2 linked regions of the Xenopus tropicalis genome follow. The protein of the gene in region 1 purifies or fractionates together with the protein of each later gene. This does not show direct contact. Links are inferred from orthologs where the notes say so. Each region holds a gene or a part of one and is shown in the gene's direction. Other genes may lie near its edges.

Region 1 (3,513 bases):
CAAGTTCACCTTGAATATACGTCATAGCACACAGGCCTTAGAAAAGAAAAAAACAACAGCTTCCATAAATATAATATTTATAAGAGCATTTATGTAATTATTCCCTAGAGTTTCTCCCTCCAGGGTAAATTACTCACTGCAGGTATAATGCTTTATATAAGATAAATTATGACACAGTGAGCTATTTTCCTGTCTGTGTGTGGGCTGCCTGCTATCCCATTTAGCATTTTACCACTTGGCTTTGCCCCCCACCCCCCCGATTACATCTAAAATGCCGTTTTGTTAGTAAAGAGGTGCAAAAGACACATTACATGTCCTTTATTACCCAAGGAGTAGACAACTTACCTCTTAACAACAGCTCTCCTGGCACCCAGCACCCCAGATTGGCATGATTGGCATTCATTTAAGTTAAATATTATTCTAATTATACTTTACCTTGCAAGCTTTCAAGTGGGGGTCACTGACCCCAACTGCCAAACAAAAATTGGTTTGTGGGTGTACAATTGTGTTATTATTGTTACTTTTTATTACTTTTCGTTCTGTTCAGTCCCTCTCATATTCATATTCCAGTCTCTGATTTAACCACTGCCTAGTTGCTAATGTAAAGAAAACCCTAGCAACCAGATAGGTGCTACCAATCTGGAGAGCTGCTGAACAAAAAGCTAAATAATTATAAAACCATAAAAAAATGAAAACCAGTTTGAAATTGTATACATCATACTACAGGGAAATATAAAGGAGAGCAAACCCTTTCATCTTTTCCAGGCAACAGTAGACTTAAGGGTAGAATGCTGAATACTATTATATAATTAATGATGAGAAAATATATGTTGTTGGTCATTGCAGGTCATTGCATATAACACTGAAGGCAAGAGCAGCCCAAGTGAGGTGGTGGAGTTTGTGACTTGTCCAGACAGACCAGGAGCACCCTCAAAGCCTTCTGTCAAGGGAAAGGTCCATGCACATAACTTCAGGATAGTATGGGGTATGTAGAGCCCATATGTTTAATGATTCATTGGCAGCTTATGAAACAGTCTATATTGCACTGTTTTTCACTGGTCATTAGTAGTTTACATAAGAGGAGGCCTAATTTGTTTGGGGAACAGTATTCTGACCACTCTTATTACTTTCCTTGCAAATGGGGACAACACAACAAATGGTAAGAGTAAGCTCTAAACTGGAATTTGTTGGTTTTTATAGATCCACCTAAGGACAATGGAGGAGCAGCAATCACAAAATACGTTATGGAGATGTCTGAAGACAGCAATGGTATTCATCTTTTCCGCCAGTTTACATATTATCAGGCATGGAGATCCATGTAGAAATTGTACTTGTAATGTCATTTTCTTTTTTTTTCTGCCAAAAGAAGAAAGTTTTGCAATTGACCATTTAATTTTGTTATTAGCCTTTCTTATTCTTTGCTCTCCAGATTGTTTGGGGTTTTTTTTTTAGTTATTTCATAGGCAAAACACATTTTAAATATGTCTTGTTTGTTTTCTTTAATACATGTTAGTAGTTTAATTTAACTCATTAGAGCACATGGGAAAAAGTAGTAGCATGAGTTAAACAGAGTAGCAGAAGCATACTGACCATGTACACAAACACAAATGCCATTCATTGGTTCCCTCCATAGAGAATACCACTGGATTATTCCTAGCATGTACTATATCTGGCACACTGAAATAATAATTCTTTTTAATATAAAGGTACATTGTGTGCTTAGAAATACTATTAAAGGTTATCTCCCTGCAACAGTACATCTACACAATATGTTTCTATGCTCTCTTTTTCATTCACGCTTCCCCTTATCTCAGCTGGTTGTAGCGCATCCGAGCTATTGCTATTCAGTTGTTCCTTATCAGGCCAGTGTCTGCATATTATTCACTCTAAAAGCAAATTCTTTGTTACAAATACATATGGTAAGTGCCTGAGATCTTTACCGAGACAGACCTTGGAAGTTGGTTTTGGATGCAGTACTTAAGAGTTTATTTAATCAACTGCAGGAAACCGTTAGCAATCTTTCCATATTTCATCTCTAAACAAATTACTAGGAGACTGGTATATAGAAACTAGGAGACCAAGATGTGCAGAACACAGTCAAAAACTGATCAGACATTAATGATTAATCCTGCAGGAAACAAGTGGGATGTCGTATACAGTGGAACAGCTCGAGAATACCTGTGTGACCATCTGAGTCCAGGCTCTTCTTATCGCTTACAAGTCCATTGCATCAGTGATGGAGGGAAGAGTCAGGTAATGTCACGTACCTTGCAGTCTAAGCATCCAACTTTGTGGGACTATGGTCATGGGAGCTAACAGCACGTGTGTTTATTCATAGCCTTAACCATATGCTATAGGACTACTTTTAATTATAATGCAAAGTTAAAGTGAAAAATTCCTAATATATTGTCATTGCAGCTTTCCCTAAGGTAAAGGTATTTACCCCACCCTGCCTTGTAGTACAACATTTATTCAGGCTGCCCTCTAGATCACAACAGTCCTATAGATGCAAACAAATATAGTTAAGCTTGGCACCTTATTGTCCCCTGTGTGAGGCCCATATCTGTCCAAAAAACAGGCAGATGTTGATCAGGCAGGTTTAATATTCCCATTGAGACAAGGAACATTGGCTTATTGATGTAGTCCTCACCCCGACAGCCTGCATCCTGTCAATGTGATCTGATTCTTCGATCTGAGGTCCGACTTCAAGCTGGGCATGTTGGGGAAAGATCCACTTGCTTGGCCAAATGAACATGTTTTTTTTTTCCATTTGTGGCAAGCTTAACCTGATTCAGTATATTAACAATGGAAAATTTCTTTGATCAATTGTGATTTACTATATTATTATTATTACTATAATGGCAATCACAGCTATAATGTACTTTTGTGTTTAATGGCTCTTTAGGTATCAGATACACTGTTAGTTCAGACTCCAGCGGTGTTCCCTGGGCCATGCCAGCCCCCCAGGCTCCAAGGCAGACCAAGAGCAAGAGAAGTGCAAATGAAATGGGGTATGAATGAATGAGGTTTTTTTTTTTATACACGTGTCTTCTTGCTTACATAGAGATGTAGCAAAGCTTTCAGCTGTGGCTTTCCAACATTTTCTGACTTTTACCTTCTTATTTTTAACAGCACCACCGCAGCTTGATGGTGGTTCCCCAGTCACGTGCTACAGCCTGGAGATGTCGTCTTCTGATGCCAGTGAGCATAGAGAAGTCTACCAAGGACCTGAACTGGAATGCACAGTGGCCAGTCTTCTTCCAGGGAAGGCGTACAGCTTTCGAGTGCGCGCTGCAAACAAAACTGGGGTACAGTTCTGCTACTGTCATTTTTCTAATTATGCAGAGAACACTGGATTCTGTAAACTAAACTTTGGCAAGGATTGTACAGTGTCTCAAATCCATTATTCAAAGCAAAATAAATATTGCATCATAGATTTTACACATAATTTTAGTTTATTGTGGTGCAGTGCAGAAAACATTTTGTTACAATACAGGATGAATTGGTGCAACA
Region 2 (4,125 bases), about 150 Mb from region 1:
CCCCCCATATAAAGGCACAAGGCTGCAGGCTGAGTTATACAGGGAACTCTGAGTATCACTCATGTATTATAAGGGATAATGTACCCCCTACTGTAAATGATAAGGATATTAGCAGTCACTGAGGGGTTCTGTGCCCATATAAAGGCACAAGGCTGCAGGCTGAGTTATACAGGGAACTCTGAGTATCACTCATGTATTATAAGGGATAATGTACCCCCTACTGTAAATGATAAGGATATTAGCAGTCACTGAGGGGTTCTGTGCCCCCCATATAAAGGCACAAGGCTGCAGGCTGAGTTATACAGGGAACTCTGAGTATCACTCATGTATTATAAGGGATAATGTACCCCCTACTGTAAATGATAAGGATATTAGCAGTCACTGAGGGGTTCTGTGCCCCCCATATAAAGGCACAAGGCTGCAGGCTGAGTTATACAGGGAACTCTGAGTATCACTCATGTATTATAAGGGATACTGTACCCCCTACTGTAAATGATAAGGATATTAGCAGTCACTGAGGGGTTCTGTGCCCCCCATATAAAGGCACAAGGCTGCAGGCTGAGTTATACAGGGAACTCTGAGTATCACTCATGTATTATAAGGGATAATGTACCCCCTACTGTAAATGATAAGGATATTAGCAGTCACTGAGGGGTTCTGTGCCCCCCCATATAAAGGCACAAGGCTGCAGGCTGAGTTATACAGGGAACTCTGAGTATCACTCATGTATTATAAGGGATAATGTACCCCCTACTGTAAATGATAAGGATATTAGCAGTCACTGAGGGGTTCTGTGCCCCCCATATAAAGGCACAAGGCTGCAGGCTGAGTTATACAGGGAACTCCACCTGTAGGAGATATTGGGAGAAGATCCACCCGCTTGGCGACCTCTCCCCCCAGTCTGACCCTGATGGCACCAGGTTGGATTTCCTCCAGGTAAAATCTGATTGGCTGTTTGTAGCTCCGCCCACTTTTGGGCATCCAACAATCACCCTATTTACATTCAGGCTGACCCCATGACTATGTGATTCCAGTTTGGGGGGGGGGGGGTAACCCCAAAGCTGTAGGATTGGCGGCAGTTTGAAAACCTTCCCTGTCAGAGTGAATGGGAAAACGGAGGACCTATAGTGTGACAGATACACGGGCCCTTGCAATACAATGCAATCCGATACGATGCGATTCAATCCGATATGAGGAAGTGGCCGCTCTTGGCCTTGAAACGCAAGATCCCTGCAATTATTTATCCGTCTCCTAGCAACCATTCATGCCTGGAGCCAATCAGAAGTAGAAAAGGCGGAGGGATACGGTACAATGTTTCGATAGCACAGCACATATCCGAGTGAGAGAAATTGCCTGTAGAATTTACCCTGCGTCAGGCAGGCAATGCCCCGCACAGGTCTGTTATTGGGTAAGTACCCCCCCCGGGCTGTCAGTCACACAGCGGCAGCGGGGCAACGGGAGAGCAATGGGGTGAGAAGGGCGGAAGGATCTGCAGTCGCTGAGATAGTTCGCCACTATATAAAGCGGAAGCAGGGCCGGCTGTCAGTCAGTCAGCGGAGAGAGAAGCTGCAGTTGAAGACTTTTGGCTGCCAGTCTGTACACCGCTTGCTCTGACCCGCTACCCCAGGTAGGTGCCGCAGGCTCGGGGGAATCTTTCACTTCTTGTGGGACCGAAGTCCTTGGTGTCTCCGGCCGGGAGCTGTCTGGGAGGGTTACGGGTAGGTATGAGGCCAGTGTAGCCGGGTAACGGGGGTGTTAGTGGGAAAGGGGTCCGGCTGGGGACCGTTATACTGAGCATGCTGGGAGCTGTAGTTTGGCGGCACTTCTACTCACAGGCACAATGGTTTGTTATACGGGCCGTGGGACAGGGCATCATGGGAGTTGTAGTTAAACAGCTGTAGGGGAGTCCAGCAGCCAATGTAGGGCTTTGGGGGGAGAATTCTGGGAGTTGTAGTCCAGCAGCCAATGTAGGGCTTTGGGGGGAGAATGCTGGGAGTTGTAGTCCAGCAGCCAATGTAGGGCTTTGGGGGGAGAATGCTGGGAGTTGTAGTCCAGCAGCCAATGTAGGGCTTTGGGGGGGGAGAATTCTGGGAGTTGTAGTCCAGCAGCCAATGTAGGGCTTTGGGGGGGAGAATTCTGGGAGTTGTAGTCCAGCAGCCAATGTAGGGCTTTGGGGGGAGAATTCTGGGAGTTGTAGTCCAGCAGCCAATGTAGGGCTTTGGGGGGGAGAATTCTGGGAGTTGTAGTCCAGCAGCCAATGTAGGGCTTTGGGGGGAGAATTCTGGGAGTTGTAGTCCAGCAGCCAATGTAGGGCTTTGGGGGGAGAATTCTGGGAGTTGTAGTCCAGCAGCCAATGTAGGGCTTTGGGGGGGAGAATTCTGGGAGTTGTAGTCCAGCAGCTGCTTTAGGGCCAAAGTTTTAAGTGCAGGGAATTCTGGGAACTAAAGTAGAACAGCTGTTCTGGGGCCACTGGGTTCCTGGGGGGCTGTTATAGCCCAGTGTACTGGGGGGGGGGGGGGGGGGCTGTTATAGCCCAGTGTACTGGGGGGGGGGGGGGGGGGCTGTTATAGCCCAGTGTACTGGGGGGGGGGGGGGGGGGCTGTTATAGCCCAGTGTACTGGGGGGGGGGGGCTGTTATAGCCCAGTGTACTGGGGGGGGGCTGTTATAGCCCAGTTGTACTGGGGGGGGGGGGGGCTGTTATAGCCCAGTGTACTGGGGGGGGGGGGGGGGGCTGTTATAGCCAGTGTACTGGGGGGGGGGGGGCTGTTATAGCCCAGTGTACTGGGGGGGGGGCTGTTATAGCCCAGTGTACTGGGGGCAGATGGGGGGGGGGGGGGTACTGAGGGCTGTGGGGCTGGTATAGGCCAGTGTACTGGGGGCAGATGGGGGGGGGGGGGGGGTACTGAGGGCTGTGGGGCTGGTATAGGCCAGTGTACTGGGGGGCAGATGGGGGGGGGGGGGGGGGGTACTGAGGGCTGTGGGGCTGGTATAGGCCAGTGTACTGGGGGGCAGATGGGGGGGGGGGGGGTACTGAGGGCTGTGGGGCTGGTATAGGCCAGTGTACTGGGGGGCAGATGGGGGGGGGGGGGTTACTGAGGGCTGTGGGGCTGGTATAGCCAGTGTACTGGGGGGCTGTTTGAGAGGGTTGGCTGGCTTTGAGCTGGGTATGGGAGAGTTCTTGTTGGGGGGCACATGGGGAGGGGGGGGTTGGGGTGGAGGGGCAACTGTCGGTATGTAACGGCTGGCACTTAACATGGGGCAGATCCATGTGCTTCTGGGGGGGGGGGTTATCCCAGTCCCATGTGGCCATATTCTGTAAGGGTACAGCTTCATTTTTTGAGGGCCCCTGGGCTGGGGGCTGGCTGAGGGGCCCCTGGGCTGGGGGCTGGCTGGGGGGCCCCTGGGCTGGGGGCTGGCTGGGGGGCCCCTGGGCTGGGGGCTGGCTGGGGGGCCCCTGGGCTGGGGGCTGGCTGAGGGGCCCCTGGGCTGGGGGCTATAACATGCATGAGTAACTGCCTCTCGGGGGGGGCCCCCCCCTGACACGGGCATGCTGCAGTACTGGGAGTTGTGGGAGGGCATTGCTGGGAGTTGTGGGAGGGCGTTGCTGGGAGTTGTGGGAGGGGGTTGCTGGGAGTTGACTCTACAGTCGCCACTTGCCCATGACAGGGATTTAGGTAACTGGTTGCCTGGTCCCAGTGTGGGAGGTGGCACCGATGTGCCCACTCTGTGGGTTACTGCAGGGTAACTAGTGTTGCGGCTAATAATTTTGCATTGTGACTTGCCCCAAAGAGCTTGCACTTCTCCCTGCCCCCCATGGGTCTATAATAGGTTACTGTGTTTGCTGTGTGGGAGGGAGGGGCTTTCTGGGAGTATTTGCTCGCTGGGATCCCTCCTGGCTCCGTGTCACACTGCCCTGTGCTGCCATATGGCAGCTCCCTAGTTACCCTAATGATTGCCCTGCCAGGGGGCACACACGGGTAGTGCAGGTAACTGAGTGTGCAGTTTGGGCACCAAATAGTTTGTGGTCCCTTCAGTTTTCCATGCTGTGCCCGTGTTTCTAGCTGGTGCACGAATTGGCATCCACCGGGCCAATGGTTGTAACTGGCAAGTTGCCCTCTGCTGAG

What was found. The genes of interacting proteins can lie anywhere in the genome.
Region 2: the proteins of fibronectin type-III domain-containing protein 3A (region 1) and tent5c purify together in Homo sapiens (affinity purification with western blotting; 3 studies listed by BioGRID, with this or other methods). This does not show direct contact. The link is inferred for Xenopus tropicalis from reciprocal best matches to the Homo sapiens genes FNDC3A and TENT5C.

What each region holds. Positions count from the first base shown.
Region 1 is NC_030678.2:149,087,034-149,090,546, forward strand, and holds part of fibronectin type-III domain-containing protein 3A, read left to right. Parts: intron 1-846; coding exon 847-985; intron 986-1,200; coding exon 1,201-1,269; intron 1,270-2,134; coding exon 2,135-2,253; intron 2,254-2,905; coding exon 2,906-3,011; intron 3,012-3,132; coding exon 3,133-3,308; intron 3,309-3,513. UniProt on the Homo sapiens protein: Mediates spermatid-Sertoli adhesion during spermatogenesis.
Region 2 is NC_030678.2:2,821,809-2,825,933, forward strand, and holds the start of tent5c (terminal nucleotidyltransferase 5C), read left to right. Parts: upstream 1-1,325; 5' UTR 1,326-1,408; intron 1,409-1,520; exon of another isoform or gene 1,521-1,627; intron 1,628-4,125. UniProt on the Homo sapiens protein: Catalyzes the transfer of one adenosine molecule from an ATP to an mRNA poly(A) tail bearing a 3'-OH terminal group and enhances mRNA stability and gene expression.